Macaca mulatta: one gene and its partners. The protein of the gene in region 4 interacts with the protein of the main gene of each other region in a pairwise test. Links are inferred from orthologs where the notes say so. Each region holds a gene or a part of one and is shown on either strand. Other genes may lie near its edges.

What was found.
Region 1: the proteins of ATF4 (region 4) and SNAP29 interact in a two-hybrid assay, tested with the Homo sapiens proteins (2 studies listed by BioGRID and IntAct). The link is inferred for Macaca mulatta from reciprocal best matches to the Homo sapiens genes ATF4 and SNAP29.
Region 2: the proteins of ATF4 (region 4) and GOLGA1 interact in binary tests that used the Homo sapiens proteins (3 or more experiments, as listed by UniProt). The two-hybrid records come from large-scale screens. The link is inferred for Macaca mulatta from reciprocal best matches to the Homo sapiens genes ATF4 and GOLGA1.
Region 3: the proteins of ATF4 (region 4) and GCC1 interact in binary tests that used the Homo sapiens proteins (3 or more experiments, as listed by UniProt). The two-hybrid records come from large-scale screens. The link is inferred for Macaca mulatta from reciprocal best matches to the Homo sapiens genes ATF4 and GCC1.

The regions. Positions count from the first base shown.
Region 1 is NC_133415.1:31,700,218-31,704,157, reverse strand, and holds part of SNAP29 (synaptosomal-associated protein 29), read right to left. Parts: intron 1,225-3,940; coding exon 1,028-1,224; intron 1-1,027. UniProt on the Homo sapiens protein: SNAREs, soluble N-ethylmaleimide-sensitive factor-attachment protein receptors, are essential proteins for fusion of cellular membranes.
Region 2 is NC_133420.1:22,827,079-22,831,740, reverse strand, and holds the start of GOLGA1 (golgin subfamily A member 1), read right to left. Parts: upstream 3,241-4,662; 5' UTR 3,003-3,240; intron 2,323-3,002; 5' UTR 2,273-2,322; intron 1,049-2,272; exon of another isoform or gene 947-1,048; 5' UTR 894-946; coding exon 759-893; intron 1-758. UniProt on the Homo sapiens protein: Involved in vesicular trafficking at the Golgi apparatus level. Involved in endosome-to-Golgi trafficking. Mechanistically, captures transport vesicles arriving from endosomes via the protein TBC1D23.
Region 3 is NC_133408.1:167,433,774-167,438,502, forward strand, and holds the start of GCC1 (GRIP and coiled-coil domain-containing protein 1), read right to left. Parts: upstream 3,241-4,729; 5' UTR 2,826-3,240; coding exon 1,794-2,825; intron 917-1,793; coding exon 1-916. UniProt on the Homo sapiens protein: Probably involved in maintaining Golgi structure.
Region 4 is NC_133415.1:12,020,845-12,025,311, reverse strand, and holds ATF4 (cyclic AMP-dependent transcription factor ATF-4), read left to right. Parts: upstream 1-1,541; 5' UTR 1,542-2,215; coding exon 2,216-2,441; intron 2,442-2,542; coding exon 2,543-3,372; 3' UTR 3,373-3,455; downstream 3,456-4,467. UniProt on the Homo sapiens protein: Transcription factor that binds the cAMP response element (CRE) (consensus: 5'-GTGACGT[AC][AG]-3') and displays two biological functions, as regulator of metabolic and redox processes under normal cellular conditions, and as master transcription factor during integrated stress response (ISR).

The DNA of each region.
Region 1 (3,940 bases), about 20 Mb from region 4:
TTCAAGCCAAAACCTGAGGAAAGCAACTTCTATCTTTATTTTTTTAATTTTAATTATTTATTTTTATATTTTTTTAGAGACAGGGAGACTCTGTCACTGAGGCTGTAGTGCACTGGCACCATCATAGCTTACTCTAGTCTCTTAACACCTGGGCTAAAGCAATAATTCCACCGCAGTCTCCCCTGTAGCTAGGATTATAGGCAAGTGCCATCATGTCTGGCTAATTGTTTTTTTTCTTTAGTTTTTATAGAGACGAGTCTTTGCTATGCTGTCTAGGCTGGTCTCAAACAATCCTCCCACCTCAGCCTCTGAAAGCATGGGATTTTACAGATAAGCCACTGAGCTCAGTCTTGTAATTTTAAAATGAAAATCAATGGGTGAATTGGATTAGATATGACAAATTTAGACATAAATTTTTTTATTTTTATTTTTTTGAGACAGGACCTCCCTCTGTAGCTCAGGTTGGAGTGCAGCAGCACCATTACAGCTCACTGCAGCCTTGACCTCCAGGCCTCATGCGATCCTCTTACCTCAGCCTCCTGAGGAGCTGCGACTACAGGTGTGCACCACAATGCTTGGGTAATTTTTGTAAAGACTGGGGTACCACTATGTTGCCCGGGCTGGTCTTGAACTTCTGGACTTAAGCAATCCACTCACCTTGGCATCCCAAAGTTTCGGGATTACAGATGTGAGCCACTGCACCCAGCCCTAAAGACTTTTTAAAGGAAAAATTATGTGAAGTGAGTCACATTTGTACTGATTACGCTGAGGCGAACACCCTCTCTTTCAAAGTAGTGGGGTCACAACTATCGGAGAAGCAGTTGACAGATTACATGTCAATCAAGTGAACATGGGAACACGGAAGAACAGTTTCTGGCTTCACAATGTTTGAGGACAAATATCCTGATGAGTAACTTAAAGGGTTGCTGGATCCCTTCATGACACTGACGTGGACTGAAAGCATTGGTCATTTGCACTAATCCCCACTTCTGCTCCTTTATACCCAGATGGTAGAAGACACACTCACCTGCTGTTGGGCTGGGAGGCGAGGGTGCCATTCTGTTCAGGTGGGGCCTCTGCTGGTTTGGATTTGAAGTAATTGACGAGCCCCCCAAACACGCTCTTAATGCTATTGATGTGTTTCTGGCTGATCTTCAAATCTTGGTCCATCTTGTCCACCATCTTCTCTGTGCGCTCCAGGACTCCTCGCTGACGGACAAGCTCCTGGGGAAACCAAGAGGCGGTGGTATTATAGCTTTCTGTGACTCTCCCCTAGGCCAGTCAAGGACCACATGGAGCAGCCACTTCATAAACTCTCAGTGGGCACATCTGGAGACGGGTACTATCATCTGTGAGGGGCACACTACCCTTTCCAACAACACGTTCCTTTGCCTCTCCCTCCCTGCCCTACCTCTGCTTGCTTTCCTCATTTGTTCATGAGACCCTTTTCCTGAGAGGCTGGTTCACGGCACCATGTTAAGATGGATAGCAGAGGCCTGGCGCAGTGGCTCACGCCCATAATCCCAGCACTTTGGGAGGCCGAGGTGGGCAGATCACGAGGTCAGGAGTTCAAGACCAGCCTGGCCAACATGGTGAAACCCCTGTCTACTAAAAATACAAAAAGTAGCCAGCTGTGGTGGTGGGTGCCTGTAATCCCAGCCACTCGGGAGGCTGAGGCAGGAGAATCACTTCAACCTGGGAGGCGGAGGTTGCAGTGAGCTGAGATTGTACCACGGCACTCCAGCCTGGGCAACAGAGCAAGACCCCATCTCGATGCTGGGGGCAGCGGGTAAGATGGATGGCAATGTGCCTGTGAGGTTCAGAGTCCAGGGCCTGAACTGGAAGCAGATTCTCTCTAGCCCACCAATTCTGGGAACCCTCACAGACTGGGGCCTGGCACTGCCCCCTGGACTTTGGTTCTTATATTCTTCCTTTATGAAGTTCCCACTTTAGGAGGTCCCAGTGGGCCACCTGAGCCTCCTGGCCATGGTCAAATCCTCGAATTCTATTTCAGGGACCAGTGTCCCTTCTGGTCCTATTAATGTCTGACTCTAGTTCATCCGCAATTCCAGCTTTAAAACCTGTTAACATGTGTGACCCTGTCCCAGGGCCTTTGCACACACCACTGTCTCTGCCTGTAATGTTTTCCATCCGGATACTTATATGGCTCAGCCTCTCATCCCTCATCCAATTAGGGTCTCCTCTCAAAGGCCACTCTCTGAGAGAGGCCTTCCCAGACATCTTCCCTAAAGGAGAACTCCTTCCAACCACCAACCCTCTTCTCCACATCCTTTTCTGTTTTATTTTGAGATGGAGTCTTGCTCTGTCATCCAGGCTGGAGTGCAGTGGCATGATATTAGCTCACTGCAACCTCTGCCTCCTGTGTTCAGGTGATTCTCCTGCCTCAGTCTCCAGAGTAGTTGGGATTCCAGGCGCCTGCCACCACGCATAGCTAGTTTTTTGTATTTTTGGTAGAGACAGGGTTTTACCATGTTGGCCCGGTGGTCTCGAACTCCTGACATCAGGTGATTCACCTGCCTCGGCCTCCCAAAGTGCTGGGATTACAGGTATGAGCCACTGCACCCAGCCTCTCTTTTCTTCACAGCATATGAGCTCCAGGAGGCAGGGACTTGCTCTGTTCACAGATGAGTCTCTGCAAATCTGTCCAGTGGAGACGTGAGTGATGCTCTCTGGCCACAGTGGCAGCCTGATGGTCCCTCCAGAGCTAAAGGTTCTGGTTGTGGATATACATCCACCACAACAGGAACACTACCACTTTCCTTTATTTATGACAAACTTGCTTCAGTCCCTGCTTCAGAACTGATCTACGGCTGCGGCCCATCTGTTGAGCTGCCTTTCCAGCCAGAAGGCTCTCAAGCTTCTTTTTCCTGCTCTCAGGCAGCCTCTGCCCTCAGCTGCCTTCCTCTGAATCTGTTATCCACGCATCACCCTGTGGCTTAGCAATTACACTAACTATGCAAATACTTTTTTTTTTTTTTTTGAGACCGAGTGTTGCTCTGTCGCCTAGGTTGGAGTGCAGTGGCGCAACCTCGGCTCACTGAAAGCTCCGCCTCCTGGGTTCACACCATTCTCCTGCCTCAGCCTCTCGAATAGCTGGGACTACAGGTGCCCGCCAACACGCCCAGCTAATTTTTTGTATTTCTTTTTAGTAGACATGGGGTTTCACTGTGTTGGCTAGGATGGTCTCGATCTCCTGACCTTGTGATCTGCCCGCCTCGGCCTCCCAAAGTGCTGGGATTACAGGCGTGAGTCACCGCGCCCGGCCGCAAGTGTTTTTTAGATATATTCTCTCTTGATGCCTAAAAACAAAGTTAAAAAAAAAAAAAAAAAAGCTTTAATCGCTGAAGAGTAAAATGCAACTGTAATCAGAAAAGCAAAATGCAACTATAAATAAATGGTTGTGGCTTCCTTAAAGTCCTTAAGGAATCAATGTGTAACCTAAGTCCTTGTTTAATGGGTGAAATTTAAAAACATAATGTATACGCAAAAAGCTAAAACACTGGTTGAATTTACTATTAAACTTTAACTCTTGCTGGAAATAAACTTAGAACTGCTGAATTTTACAGCTTTCAACATTTACATTTTTCGCCAGTTCACAAGACATGTCTGAAAAAACCATCAGCCTTTTTTAACTAAAAAGAAAAATGTTTTCTGGACTGTGTCAGTCAGTATGTCAAGCAAATCTTGCAAGGGCTAGTTTTCAAAAGAAAAAAGAGCTGCTAACATATCTGGTGTTTCTGCTTCTTCCATTACCTCAAGTTTATCATCTTCATGTCCATACTGTGGTCTTTTCTGGAATAAGGCAGAGCTACACATTAGGATTAAAGAGATTTTCTCCAGCATCTACACGTTTTTCTAACAGTCCAGTTCCAGCTAGCTTTGCAGGCTGCTGAAGACAGAATAATCTGTAGCTGAAAGA
Region 2 (4,662 bases), on a different chromosome or scaffold from region 4:
AGGCATGGTGGCTCACACCTGTAATTCCAGCACTTTGGGAGGCCAAGGCGGGCGGATCGCCTGAGCTCAGGAGTTTGAGACCACCCTAGGCAACATGGTGAAAACCTGTCTCTAAGAAAATACAAAAAATTAGCCAGGCATGGTGGAGTACACCTGTAGTCTCAGCTACTCTGGAGGCTGAGGCACAAGAATTGCTTGAGCCCCAGAGGCAGAGGTTGCAGTGAACTGAGATCAGGCCACAGCACTCCACCTTAGGCTACTGAGTGAGAGTCCATCTCAAAAAAAAAGAAAGAAAAAGAAAAAAAGAAACATACTGTAATCACTGTTGCCATCTTTCCATCAACCTTCCCAATACAACAATGCACTCTGGCTAACCCCTTACCACAACTCAGAGACCTTGTTAAGCAGCAATGACTTAGTTGTTATATAAGTATATATGTCTGCAATGAAAACAGGCCCAGACATTTTCAGAAATGAAATGCAAAAGAAGATGTACAAGGTACACAGATGGAAAAACAGTACAAGAGGACACTGGAGAGAATATGAAGAGGAATTCACAGAAAAATAAGGAAAAAAAAAGAGTACCTTAACATTTACAAACCAAAAATTAACAAAAAGGTACCTCAGAGTAAGAAGAATCAGATGTACAGGCTCTTATATAGCTACAAATCATGAAAGGTATGAAATAATCAAGCAATTTAAAATATTTATTGGAAGAATTTCCTGCAAAAGTATATTTCTTAAGTAAAGATACTTACAAAGTCATCTCCTGAGTCAGCTCCCATTGAGGCAACTGATTCCTTGCTCACAGACCGTGGGATCCTAGTAGCACCTCCTGGTCTCTGAGCAACAGCAGTCTCTTCTGCAATTTTCTTCTTCAGTTTTGCAAACATGTTTGCTGTGTGGCTATCCGGCACGGATGATGAGCTCTCAGTAGTCCTGGTGCCTGTGTTTAGGAATCAGACACAGGTGCCTACAAAGTTTCAGACATCCAAGCTAGCTGCATTCCCACTTAAATGTGGGCCAAGGGCTTATGGCAACACAGGATCTATAAACCAGATGAAAGGGACAGTTCAAAAGTTAAACACTGGAAAGATTTCACATCTGAGTTGTTAAGTTTTAGATTTCAAAATTAAGTTTCATAATTTACATGTACACTTATAGAACACAATTACTAAACATTTAAAAAGCACTCAGGTGCTTCATATGCATATAAGATGAAGAAATCCAGTCTCAAGGAGATGAAGTAATCTATCAAAGATTGTGTGGCTAAGTGGCAGGGCTGGTATTTGAACAGAGGACTCTCATTCACAAATCTCTGTTTTTTTTTTTTAATTATGCCATGTTGAGTATGACATATAACACATTTGGTAAAATTTCCCAGAGCAGACATCAACATCACATATTCGTGACTTAATGATTTCAAATCCTTCCTCCAATAAGCTTAACTACAGTTTAGTGTTATTTTTTTAAGTTGAAGGGAAAAACGCATGTAATTCGATTCATATGTAATCCAATATCCAATATGTAATTCAATATGTAAAAGGTGTAATATCCTACTGTTTCAGGATGGTTTGCAATCAACTGTCCAATAGGAAAAGCTGGTAACAGAAAAAAGACGACAAGCCAGACAACTCTGTTGTATAGGTATCTGATATCCTTGAACATTTTCTGGAGACGCTGTGTGGTTCTGAGTTTGATAAAATTACCTCCAATCAGTTTCTTTTTCTTTTTTTTTTTTTTTTTTTTTGAGATGGAGTTTCTTTCTTGTTGCCCAGGCTGGAGTGCAATGGCACAATCTGGGCTCACTGCAACCTCCACCTCCCGGGTTCAAGTGATTCTCCTGCCTCAGCCTCCCGAGCAGCTGGGATTACAGGCATGCGCCATCACGCCCGGCTTATTTTGTATTTTTAGTAGAGATGAGGTTTCTCCGTGTTGGTCAGGCTGGTCTCAAACTCTTGACCTCAGGTGATCCACCTGCCTCGGCCTTCTGAAGTGCTGGGATTACAGGTGTGAGCCACTGCACCCGGCCTGTTTCTTTTCTTCAGAATGTTTGACATGATATTCAAAGAAAGATTCAAAAATCTTTTCCTCCCAATGGTGTATAAAACACTAATATTCTGGTTCCAACCTTAACTTTCCATGTTTTGTGGAGGACACCTAAGCTCTGCTCTGAGATACACAAATGCCATCTTACCACTTCAGATCCTCCATTAAGTCTGTACAATTCTTCAGAAACTTTACTTTCAATGTCTGTAAACCACTTACTCACCTGGCTTATCTACTAGATCTAAAACAGCTTGGAGGTCAAAGCATTCTGTCCTGCATGAAGACAAAATAAAATTCATTGGATATTTCTTTCCAAGTGTATGGCCGAAATGTTGGGTGGGGACGGGGAGAAGTAGTGAAGGAAGAGGGACAAAAGAAGGATTAAAGGGGGTAAGAAAACCTGTCACAACTCTCAGTGGGATACCCTCCCTAACCCTGATCTCCTATGAATTTGTTATTTGCCTAAGAGCGTCACTTACAAGCGCACAGAACAGAATTGATCACCACAGCGGGTGCCTAAACTCATCTCTCCCTGGGAGCCCTAAGCAAAACAATTTGAATGAGGTTAAGTTTTCCTGGGGCCAGTATTTATTTCTCAGTTGATTACTATACTCACACACTGTTTACCTGGCCAGACCCTGGACTGTCTGGTCACGGATTTGCACTGAGAGAAAGCAAAGCAAGATTGGGTAAAGACAGATGCCTAACCCCCAGGGAGGCAGGCAGGTGCCTGCCACGGCAGTTTGGATCTCACTCCCTCAGGCTCCCTCCAGCCCCGCCCGTGCTTGGACTGTCAAAGAAAGGAAGGATCCAACATCTCTCCCATTTGACAGCAGAGAAACTGAGCCCCAGAGAGGAGGAGCGACTTGTCCAAGGTCGCGCAGGGAGGAATCCCGGAATCCTAGGCTCCAGACTCCCAGGCCGGGGCAGCCCGCCTCCGCCCCCACTCTCACCCTTTCAGCACCCCGGTGCCGCCCCCCGCCTTGGGGCTTGGGCAACCCTGACCGGGCCGCTGTGGGGACAGACAGAGGCCACCGGGAGAATAAGGGGCCTACTCGCATTCCCGGAGTCCTGGCCCGCGCACCTGCCTCTCTCTGGGCAGCCAGCAAAGCCCCGCCTCCGGGGCCTCTCGTGAGCCCCGGACCGCGTCACCAGCCCCCACCGCCCGGCTGGAGAGCCGAGCAGCGACCCGGAACCGCACGTCTCCCAGCGCGCCGGAAGTGACTGCGCGAGGGAGTTGGTCCGACGCGCGCATGCGCCCGTGCGCGGCCTTTGGCGGCTACTGTTCTAACCTCTGGGCGGCGGTTGGGCCGGAACGGCTGGAGTGCGCGAGTGCCTAGCCGGGCGCTCAGTCATTTCAGTTCGCCACGTCAGCGAGCGGCCAGAGACGCAGATGATGACTGAGTCTCCGAGGCCTCTCTTGGTCTTTTTCTATTTTAACAGGGGCGTGTGCAGAGCGTGGTAAGTGGGAGGGGCTTCGTGTCAAAAGTGAAAGAACCGGTCCGTGCCACAGGCCCCGCTGCGCTGTGCTGGCTACAAACCCTTCGCGGGCTGCGCTGCTTGGCCAGACGCCCCCCGTGCCGCCCGGTCCCGCCGCACCCTAGGCAGCTGCCTTGCCACTGTGTGACCCGGGAAGTCTGCGCCTCCATCTTCACTCAGAAGGCAGTAGCTCCAGAAACTAGTCCTTACACCTTGAGACCAGTTTTTAAACTTTGGCGCCTGTCACCTCCTGTAGATGATGCGTTTTATATCGCAACCGAGTGCATAACGTCCAGCAGAACCACGTTGTAATGCACTTAAAAACGCTAGTGGCAGCTCACTATATTGGATTAGCTTCACCATCCGCTGCTGGGCCGTCTCCTTTCTCCTTAGGAAGAAAGTTCAAAGCATCAAAAGTGCCCGGCGCCCGCTCCTGTGGTCCCAGCTACTCGGAAGACCGAGTTGGGAGGATCTCTGGGTCCGGGGCTTCGAGACCAGCCTGGGCACCGCGGCGAGACTCCGTCTCTTTAAGTAAATAGCAATCATACAGGCAGTAGGAAAAGAAAAAAACAAAACAGGAAAAACTGTCTTGTTCTAAGTCACATTCCAGGCCGGGCGCGGTGGTTCACCCGAGGTCAGGAGTTCAGACCAGCCTAACATAGCGAAACCCCGTCTCTACTAAAATTACAAAATTAACCGGGCTTGGTGGCCCATGCCTCGAATCCCAATTACTTGGGAGGCGGAGGCAGGAGAATCGCTTGAACCTGGGAGGTGGAGGTTGCAGTGAGCCAAGATTGCGCCATTGCACTCCAGCTTGGGCAACAAGAGTGAAACTGTCTCAAACAAAAAGTCACGGTCCACATCAGTAACCTAAGTCAGGTCCCTGAACTCGTCAGTGCCAAGCCAGCCATTCCTACTCTGGTTCCATCCCCAGACTTAACACCAGCCCAAGAGTAAGCAGATTTCACCCAATTCTTCAACAGCCCCTTCCTTCGCGTGTTCCAGGAGCAGGGCACGGAAAAACCAAAACCAGGATTCAGACATTTACAAACTAACAAGAAGCATCAACCCCAAGATAGTTCAAAGCCTTTGAGATATGTGAATGAAGCAAACCCTAACAGTTCAGCTGTCAAT
Region 3 (4,729 bases), on a different chromosome or scaffold from region 4:
CATTGGCCGCTGCAAGTTGTAATGCTTGGGTCAGGCTATCAGAGGATGATGTGTCAGCTGGGTCCCCAGGACCACCACCACCCACAGGACTTCTGCGTCCTGGCAGCCCAGAGGCCAAGGCCACAGAACGCAGTTGCTCCAGTTCCAAGTCCTTCTCAGTGAGAACAGCCAGGGCACGATCCCGCTGCTTGTGCAGCTCCTCCTCCAGTTTCAGTGTGCGGTCCCTGAAGTCCAGCTGGCACCGCTCCAGCTCCTGCCGGTGGAGCTGCTGCAGCCGGGCCAGCTCCTGCTTCCAGTCTTCAGCCTCCTGCTGGTGTTGTTGTTCCAGCTCCTCACAGGAGAGCCGCAGGGAGATATACTTCTCCTTCAGCTCTGCAAGCTGCTCCTGGGCTGCCTCTAGTTCCCTTCCCAGGTTACCATCTTTGGTATTCTTGCTTTTGAGGACGACCTGGGCCCTCATCTTGTACCTCTCAAACTCTTCCTTCAGCTGTTTCAGCTCCTGTTGGTAATAGAGTGCAGTAGCCTTCTCCCCATCAGCAGCCTCCGAGCTAGGCATTATCTCCAGGTCACAGAGCTTCTCCACATCCAGGGTCACCTGGCTTTTCCTGGCTGCAACCTGCAGCAACCTCTTCAGCCTCTCCATCTTATCCTTCAGGACATTGACATCCAGACTGGATTCCTCTCCATGGCTGTCTAAAGGGGACCTGCTGGAGGCTGCTAGAGCCAGTGTCTTGTTCTCCAGGTCCAGCTGCAGAATGCGCTCCTTCAGCTTTTGAATGGCCAGCTGGTCCTTCTGCTTGGCTTTCTCATAGGTGCCTAGCAGCTCAGACACCTCGGATATTTGATTTTCCAGGGCTGCCACCCTCTGTTCTTCCACCTGAGATTGCTGACGGAGTTGATCCTCTGCAAGAGCTGTCTGGAAAACAAGGGAACAGACAAAAATGCATCCACAAAAGCCCCACAGCAAACTTCGAGAAACCAGTTCCTGGTTTCGAAGGAGAGGGGAGCAAAAGGGTCACAGGTTTGGGATGGCCTGGCAAGAATGTGAACTAGGGATTTTTCGGTTGCTTCAGGAGCTAACAAAAGTTCCTATTACCTGCTTGGGTTCTGCAAAACACATATACCGAACAATATTAAGCACCTTGGTATATCTGCTATTGTTCTGCTTTCCACCTAACTCACATGTAATGTGTGTTACTGTTGTTTTTCTGGTGCTTCCTCAAATCCTATTAAGAAATCATACAACATTCTTTTCCTTATCCAATATTCCTGGAAGTTCAAAACTGAGCCGGATTTCCCTCTCCACACTGAAAGGAGGCACCCTTTCAATACCTGTTCTGGTATAGCACTTCTCCAAAACAGGTAAATCTTGAGTAAAGGCAATGACAAGAGGTTACTTCTGAGAAAATCCCCTTTGCCTTCAGCCACCCTCCCTAGAAGCACATACCAAGAGAACATTTGGACACACTACCTTTTACTGGACACATTACCTTTTACTGTACAGATGCTGCTATACTGCTTCATAGACCACAGCTGGTAAGATGCCAATGCCCAGAAGTGCAGAGCTGTCTGGCTTCAACCCAGCCTCCACTGAGAAGCTCCACATCCTCCTGGAAGCACACACGTCAACACCACATAGAACAGGACTTCCCAGGTTCTCTAGTGGAACTTCTCAGGCAGCATCAAAAATGACACTGTAGACACTTAGCTCTAACTAGCAAAGGAGGAAAAAAACCCTAATAGTTCTCACTTCAGGTCAATGACTGATGTTTGAAAAAGATGTGGATAATTACCTTTCTCATTTCCTGCTGTAACTGAGCCTGGAAATGGCTCTTAAGGCGGGCAGCCTCTTCCTGAAGTTCTTGCAGCCGGGGGTCTGGCTGATTCTTCTCATCTCGAATGACCTGCAGTTCACTTTTCAGCTCCTCCACCTCACGGGTCAGCTGCTTGGTCTGCAGTTCAAATCCTTCCATCTGTTCAGCTGCATATGCTCGTCCTGCCAGGGCTTCTCGGGTCTCTTCTAACCTAAGCTCCAAGTCCTGGCGCTGGGTCCTCTCCTCCTGCAGCAGCTTCTGGAGCTCACGCAGCATCAAGGCATGGTCACTCTGCTCTTGGGCCCGATCATGCTGCTGTGTGATAAGTCGGGCTTTGGTTTCTGCTATTTGCTCCTGCAGCCCCTTCAATTCTCCCTCCAGGCGGGCCCTCTCCTCCTCCGCCTTGTTACTGGCATCCTCTAAGTCCTGTTTCATCTTCTTCTTGTCAGCCACGTAAGAAGCCTCCATGCGGGACTTCTCCTGAGTGACTGTGGCCAAAGAACTAGTCAAAGTAGCCAACTGAGTCTTCAGTTGGTGCAGTCTTTTGTCCACCTCCCCAACTGCAAATGGCCCATCCCCACTGCTACTGCTAACGCCACTTTCGGACCCACTGGCCTCTTCGGACTTTGGAGGTGGTGGTCCCCGGGCCGGTCTGTCATCTTCTACCCCAAACTCACCCTTGGTGCTGGTGAGACTGGCCGCAGTATCCAAGCTAGTGGCGGTCCCAGTGCTATCCTCGCTGTGAGTGGAGCACCGGTCATCCACAGAGTCAGGAAATGTGAGGCCTGGAAGCTGGACACCTACGAGGCCCACATCTGCCTCGTGGGATACCGACAGCACCTTGATGCTGGCCTCTAGCGCCTCTTTCTCCTTCAGTAGGCTTTTATAGGCACGGACCACATCCTTGAGCCGTGCCTGATACTGGAGAAGCTGCTTCTTCTGCGTCTCTATAGTCTCCAGCAAGTCTTTCTTGCTCGGGCCGCCTCCGAAATTCATCCCAAACTTCTCCATGGAGGTTCTGAACGGATTGCCCCACGTCAGCTTTCCGGCAGAACGGGAGAGGGCCGCGAAGACGCAGGGGTGGGCTTAAAGAAACAGCTAGCGGGCTCTCCGGCGGCGGGCCGCACACCTACTCCACCCAGTTATCCCGGACCTAATGCGGATCGGCGGGAAGGACTGGAGAAAGCGGCCGCCGGGTCCCAGGCCCAGAGGGCTGGGGCGGATTCTATCCCGGAGGCGGAGCGACACTGGCACCAGAGGCGCGCGCACTGCCAGGGCTCGTCAGCGCTGGCCGAAATGCCGCTCCGCACTCTCCGCTCGTCTGGGTCACAACAGCCCGGGCCGGCCCCCTCGGCCCACGTCGGCCAGAGGCTTACGCTGACCCATCACGACTTCCTAACTACATCTGCCGACAACGGCGCTTCCGTGTCCGCTGGAAGTGACGTCAGCGATGCGCCGCAGGCTCCGCCCCCAGTGGGCGCGAGGTAGGCGGGGCCACATCGGCCCGCTGAGAATGTGCAGTGGGGCCGCGAGCGGCAAACAACAGGTTTGGGAAGGGTGAAGCCAGCAAAGTCGAAGACACCAGAGTGGTACTGGTTTTGTGAGGGCGCCCAAGCTTGACCTCGGGCTACGATCAGCGAGCGACAGAGGGCAACGTCGCACTGCATTCTTAACAAACACCCAGGTGAACCACACATCCAACGATTTGGGAGCTCAGGACCCATATCCCTAAAAGGCAACAATTAAGACTCCCATTTAGACCACGAAAACTGCACTCCTCTCTAGCACAGTGCTTGGTACCTAGTAGGCATACAGCGTAATAGTACCCTTCCTTAGTTCTGCCGAGTTGATTCAACAAATATTTATGGAGGGCACTCTATAGCCATGTCTATTCTGAGTGCCAGCTATATACCAGGAGCTCACAAGAGTTTTGCTATTTAGTCTTTACAATAATTCTTGTAAGCACTATACTCATTAGCAATATTTTACAGATATGAAAACATGAGGCAGAAAGGTTATACGTAACATGCCCAAGGTCACACAGCTAGTAAGTTTAGGAGTTCTATCCTAATCAGTCTGATTCTCAACATATCACGTGCTGTGCTAGATGGTAACACCATTAAGAGACACAACCTTGCCCTCAGGGAGCTCACAATCTAGTGAGGAACCAGATATACAAATATGTCCTGCTATCACACCAGTATGTCTGAGTATATTCAAAGTGGCATGAAAGTTAAGAGGAAAGAGGCCTGTCTAGGTGAGGCATAGAAGGCTCTTGGGAATAATACTTCGGGATTTTAAGAATGAGTCCTGATTGTCCACCTAACCAGAGATCAGGGAAACTAGCATTCCAGGTAGGTGCAAAAAATGCAAAGACCTGTAGGGTATCAGAGTTTGACTCACCTAGAAAGCATTCAGTAGCTTAGGGTATGTGAAGGAGATGACAACAGAGGGGCTGGCACAATAGGTAGGGGCTCAACTTACAGCATTTAAATTTTATCTTGGGTTATAGTAAGGCCCTAAATGGATTTTAATCTGAACAGTGGGATGTCATCAAGACTTGTATGACATGTTGGAGGGAACAAGGGGCAAGGAGACCTCTGAGGAGACTCAGTCATGGGGGAAGAGAAGGTAGTGATAACAGAGATGGAAACAAAGAGGCTGATAAAAGAGCTAAATGTAGAATTGATCTAACTTGGTGAACACTAGTTCTGTTATTATATTGGAACTCTCTAAAATGTACTCTTCAGCCTCATAAAAGCCTTCTTAGTGATGCAAATCTATGACTGAAGGAAAAAGGAAAGTCATGCACTCACTCCTATCTGTTTCCCGAAGTCTGTCCTTGGTATAGACTTTGCAGGTCAGGATGGGGCAGGACCTGGAGGTCTGTTCAGACCCCGTTTCTCAGTGGCCCA
Region 4 (4,467 bases):
CATAGAAATACTTGTGTGGCCCGGTGAAATGGAGGCGGAAACTCAGTTTCTACCTTCACAGGGCCTGACTGGAGGGGGCTGAGGACGATGCGGAGGTTTCCTGTATTAAAACAGACTACCCCCCCTTCCCAACGCACAACCCCGAGCACGTGGCCGTGGGTTCCCAAGCGCCTCTCCTCCCAGGGCCATGGGCATGACCACCGAAAAGCGGGTTAGGCCGGGGAGTTCAGAACCCGGAGTGAATCGAAACTACCCCAGGTAGATGGCAGCGAAGAAAATTCTGTTCTTAGGGGAACGCAATCTTCGGACACCAGAAGTTCCCCTATGATGCTATTCTGTGGCAGCCTCGCACTTGAGCCGGATGAGAATTGTAAAAACCCAGGTTGGGAGACAGGACGGCGCGTCTTCCCGGCTCCTTTCCAGAGTTTAGACGGAGCCATGCAGACTCAGCTGGCCTTTGGGTGTAGGTGGGCAGGCCCGAGGCGCCCTCTCGAGACCCCTTCAACCTCCCGGGGGCAGCAACACCGTATCGGCTATGAATGGCGTCTCTGGAAAACTCAGGCTTGGAACAGGTAACCCCCCGGTTTCCGCAGGCCAGAAATCAGCCCCCGCAACCGAAGGACGCGCAGGCTGGGAGTGGCGGCGGGGCCGCCAGTGGCGGACCTCCACTGAGGGCGGCGGGACCCGACCGCAGGGGCTGGGCCCTGAGGCCACTATGGGGTGCGCTAGGCTAAGGTCTCCTGGGGGCAGGAGCCAGTGCGATTGTAGCTGGCCAGCAGGCTGGCCGGCCTGAGGCCTGGCAGAGACCCGAGACCCCGACCCTTACCACGCGGACTCCGTGATCCCTCTCCCAGCAGCCGCCCACCTGGGGCCCTGAGCCAATAAGAGCTCGAGGTATATATGACTCACCGTGCCTGGGCCAATCAACTTGACGCGCGCTCTTCGCCAGCACCTCGCGCGATAACCTGGCTTCCTCGGCCTTCACAATAAAAACTCTCCGCCGGAAAACGACCTCTCCCCGCCCACCGCGCCGACACCGGAAGCGAGGCGTGTCTGCGAGATCACTCCGCGCTCCGGCGGCGAAGGAAAGAACGGACTCTGATCATAGAAGTCTAGTAAAGTAGTGCACCTCTCTCGTTTCGTGAGGTCATAAGAACAAACACCTTTTCTCGTCACAGCTACGCGCTGGGCATAAACGGTTGGGGCGTCAAAGGGAGGGAAACGAGCGGGCGGGAGGAGATGGTCACGTGGCCGTGGCGGAAGGATGCGTCGGTGCTGCGTCCCCTTAGAGACGAAGTCTATAAAGGGCCGGCGGGCGGCTGCTGCGGCCATTTCTACTTCGTCCGCCCACAAATGTAGTTTGGTTTGCACGTGTGCGCCTTCCCTCCTCCCCGCCCGCAGGGTCCACGGCCACCATGGCGTATTAGGGGCAGCAGTGCCTGCGGCAGCATTGGCCTTTGCAGCGGCGGCAGCAGCACCAGGCTCTGCAGCGGCACCCCCCCCAGCGGCTTAAGCCATGGCGTGAGTACCAGGGCGGGTCGTCCAGCTGTGCTCCCTGGGCCGGCGCAGGATTTGGGTTGGTGGGGTGCGGCCTGGGGCCGGGGCGGTGCCGCCAAGGAGGAAGCGATTTTACGAGCGCCCGGGACGCGTGGTCTTTGCTTGGGTGTCCCCGAGACGCTCGCGTGCCCGGGATCGGGAAGGCGCATTCTGGTGCCAGGACTGCTTCCACAGGGGCCCTGCCGCCCTCGGACCCCGAGTCCCCCAAGGGTCCCAGGGGTCTCGGCTTTCCCCCCCGCGAAACGTGGCAAGAACCAAGATGGCGGCGGCAGGGCGGCGCCGCGGGCGTGAGTCAAGGGCGGGCGGTGGGCGGGGCGCGGCCGCCCTGGCCTTATTTGGACGCGGGGACGGAGCGCCTTCCTCTTGGTGGCCGGTGGAAGAATCGCCTGGTCTCCGTGAGCGTCCATTTTGTGGAACCTGAGCCGCAGCAGGGAGGGGCGGATGCAACTGCCCCGTTGCCGACTCTATAGATGGCTGGACTAGAGAAGTCCCGCCTCGTAAGTGGAAAGATGAAATTCTCAGACCAGCTAACCTCTAATGGGAGTTGGCTTCTGATTCCCATTCAGGCTTCTCACGGCATTCAGCAGCAGCGTTGCTGTAACCGACAAAGACATCTTCGAATTAAGCACATTCCTCGATTCCAGCAAAGCACCGCAACATGACCGAAATGAGCTTCCTGAGCAGCGAGGTGTTGGTGGGGGACTTGATGTCCCCCTTCGACCAGTCGGGTTTGGGGGCTGAAGAAAGCCTAGGTCTCTTAGATGACTACCTGGAGGTGGCCAAGCACTTCAAACCTCATGGGTTCTCCAGCGACAAGGCTAAGGCGGGCTCCTCCGAATGGCTGGCTGTGGATGGGTTGGTCAGTCCCTCCAACAACGGCAAGGGTGAGTGGGCCACCACCACATCGTCTGGGTGGGATCTAGGGTTAGGGGCCTGTTATCTTTGTATCTGACTCACTTGGCCCTGTCATTCAAATCTTTTGCAGAGGATGCCTTCTCCGGGACAGATTGGATGTTGGAGAAAATGGATTTGAAGGAGTTCGACTTTGATGCCCTGTTGGGTATAGATGACCTGGAAACCATGCCAGATGACCTTTTGACCACGTTGGATGACACGTGTGATCTCTTTGCCCCCCTAGTCCAGGAGACTAACAAGGAGCCCCCACAGACGGTGAACCCAATTGGCCATCTCCCAGAAAGTTTAACAAAACCCGACCAGGTTGCCCCCTTCACCTTCTTGCAACCTCTTCCCCTTTCCCCAGGGGTCCTGTCCTCCACTCCAGATCATTCCTTTAGTTTAGAGCTGGGCAGTGAAGTGGATATCACTGAAGGAGATAGGAAGCCAGATGCCACTGCTTATGTTGCCATGATCCCTCCGTGCATAAAGGAGGAAGACACCCCCTCAGATAATGATAGTGGCATCTGTATGAGCCCGGAGTCCTATCTGGGCTCTCCTCAGCATAGCCCGTCTACCAGGGGCTCTCCAAATAGGAGCCTCCCATCTCCAGGTGTTCTCTGTGGCTCTGCCCGCCCCAAACCTTACGACCCTCCTGGAGAGAAGATGGTAGAAGCAAAAGTAAAGGGTGAGAAACTGGATAAGAAGCTGAAAAAAATGGAGCAAAACAAGACAGCAGCCACTAGGTACCGCCAGAAGAAGAGGGCGGAGCAGGAGGCCCTCACTGGCGAGTGCAAAGAGCTGGAAAAGAAGAATGAGGCTTTAAAAGAGAGGGCGGATTCCCTGGCCAAGGAGATCCAGTACCTGAAAGATTTGATAGAAGAGGTCCGCAAGGCAAGGGGGAAGAAAAGGGTCCCCTAGTTGAGGGTAGTCAGGAGCGTCAGTGTGCTTGTACATAGAGTCTCTGCTGTTGCTGTGTGTTGGAATAAATTATTTTGTAGGGAAAGTACTTGTGTGAATTCCTTTTCTGGCAAATTAGCCGAGTGAGGCGCCAACCACGCATCCCAAACTGGTTATAACATTCCTTGTGAGATCTGGGGAGGAGGGCAGTCCAGGACTGAAGATGGGTACCCAGAGTGGGAACTGCTCGCCCTGCTAGGTGTAAGCCACGATGTCTGATGACTCATGGGGCCATACAGCCGGATAGTTGGCCAACTGTAGCAAGTTGGGTCCTTTACCCAGAGGTGAGTTCGCTGGTTGTGTAGGGAGGAGGCTGGAGCTCTCTGAGAGGTTGGGAGGGAGGGACAGCCTGGGCCTCTTACCTATTTATTCAAGAGGGCTTCATGCCAACAGCTGTCGCCTGAAACCCTGGATAAGCTTGCACAGTCCTTGAGATAAGCACACAAGATTAGTTTTCACTTGTTACCCTGAGTTCTGTAGAAACGTGTTCCTGAAGAAAGAAATGGCTCCTTTTCGGAATTGATGCTGAAGCAGGACAGGAGCTGAGGGTTGGCCTCCGTTTCTCCTTATGGGGTGGAAGGATGACATCCTGCACAGGTTCTGGCTAGAGCTGGGCACAAAGGCTACAGTTCCTGTGAAGGCTGTTGTGCCTGTTGCTACCTAAATAGAAGGCCTGGCATCATGCTAGGATGGATCAGCGCCTAGAAACCACGCCTCCTCACCGCAGCTTCTTCCTGGCAAGCTGGCGGGGAGACCTCGCCTTTCCAGGCAGGCGATGTCTTTTGTGTTGCGGATGAGTGCTTGATTTTGTGTTGCGGATGAGTGCTTGAATGCAAGGATCAGCGTATCCTGGGTAGGTCTGTCTTTCCTCTTGTGTCCTTCAGGATCACAGTTTTCCTTCTGTGGAAGGTGGTGTAGACTGGGTGTGCCCGGGGAATGGCTGGGAGGACAGTGAGGGTGAGTGCGCCCAGGCACTGCTGTAACTGAGCACAGTACGTGTGTTCACCCCGTCCCCGAAGCACACCCAGGAGGCAGACGCCACACTCAGGAGGATTT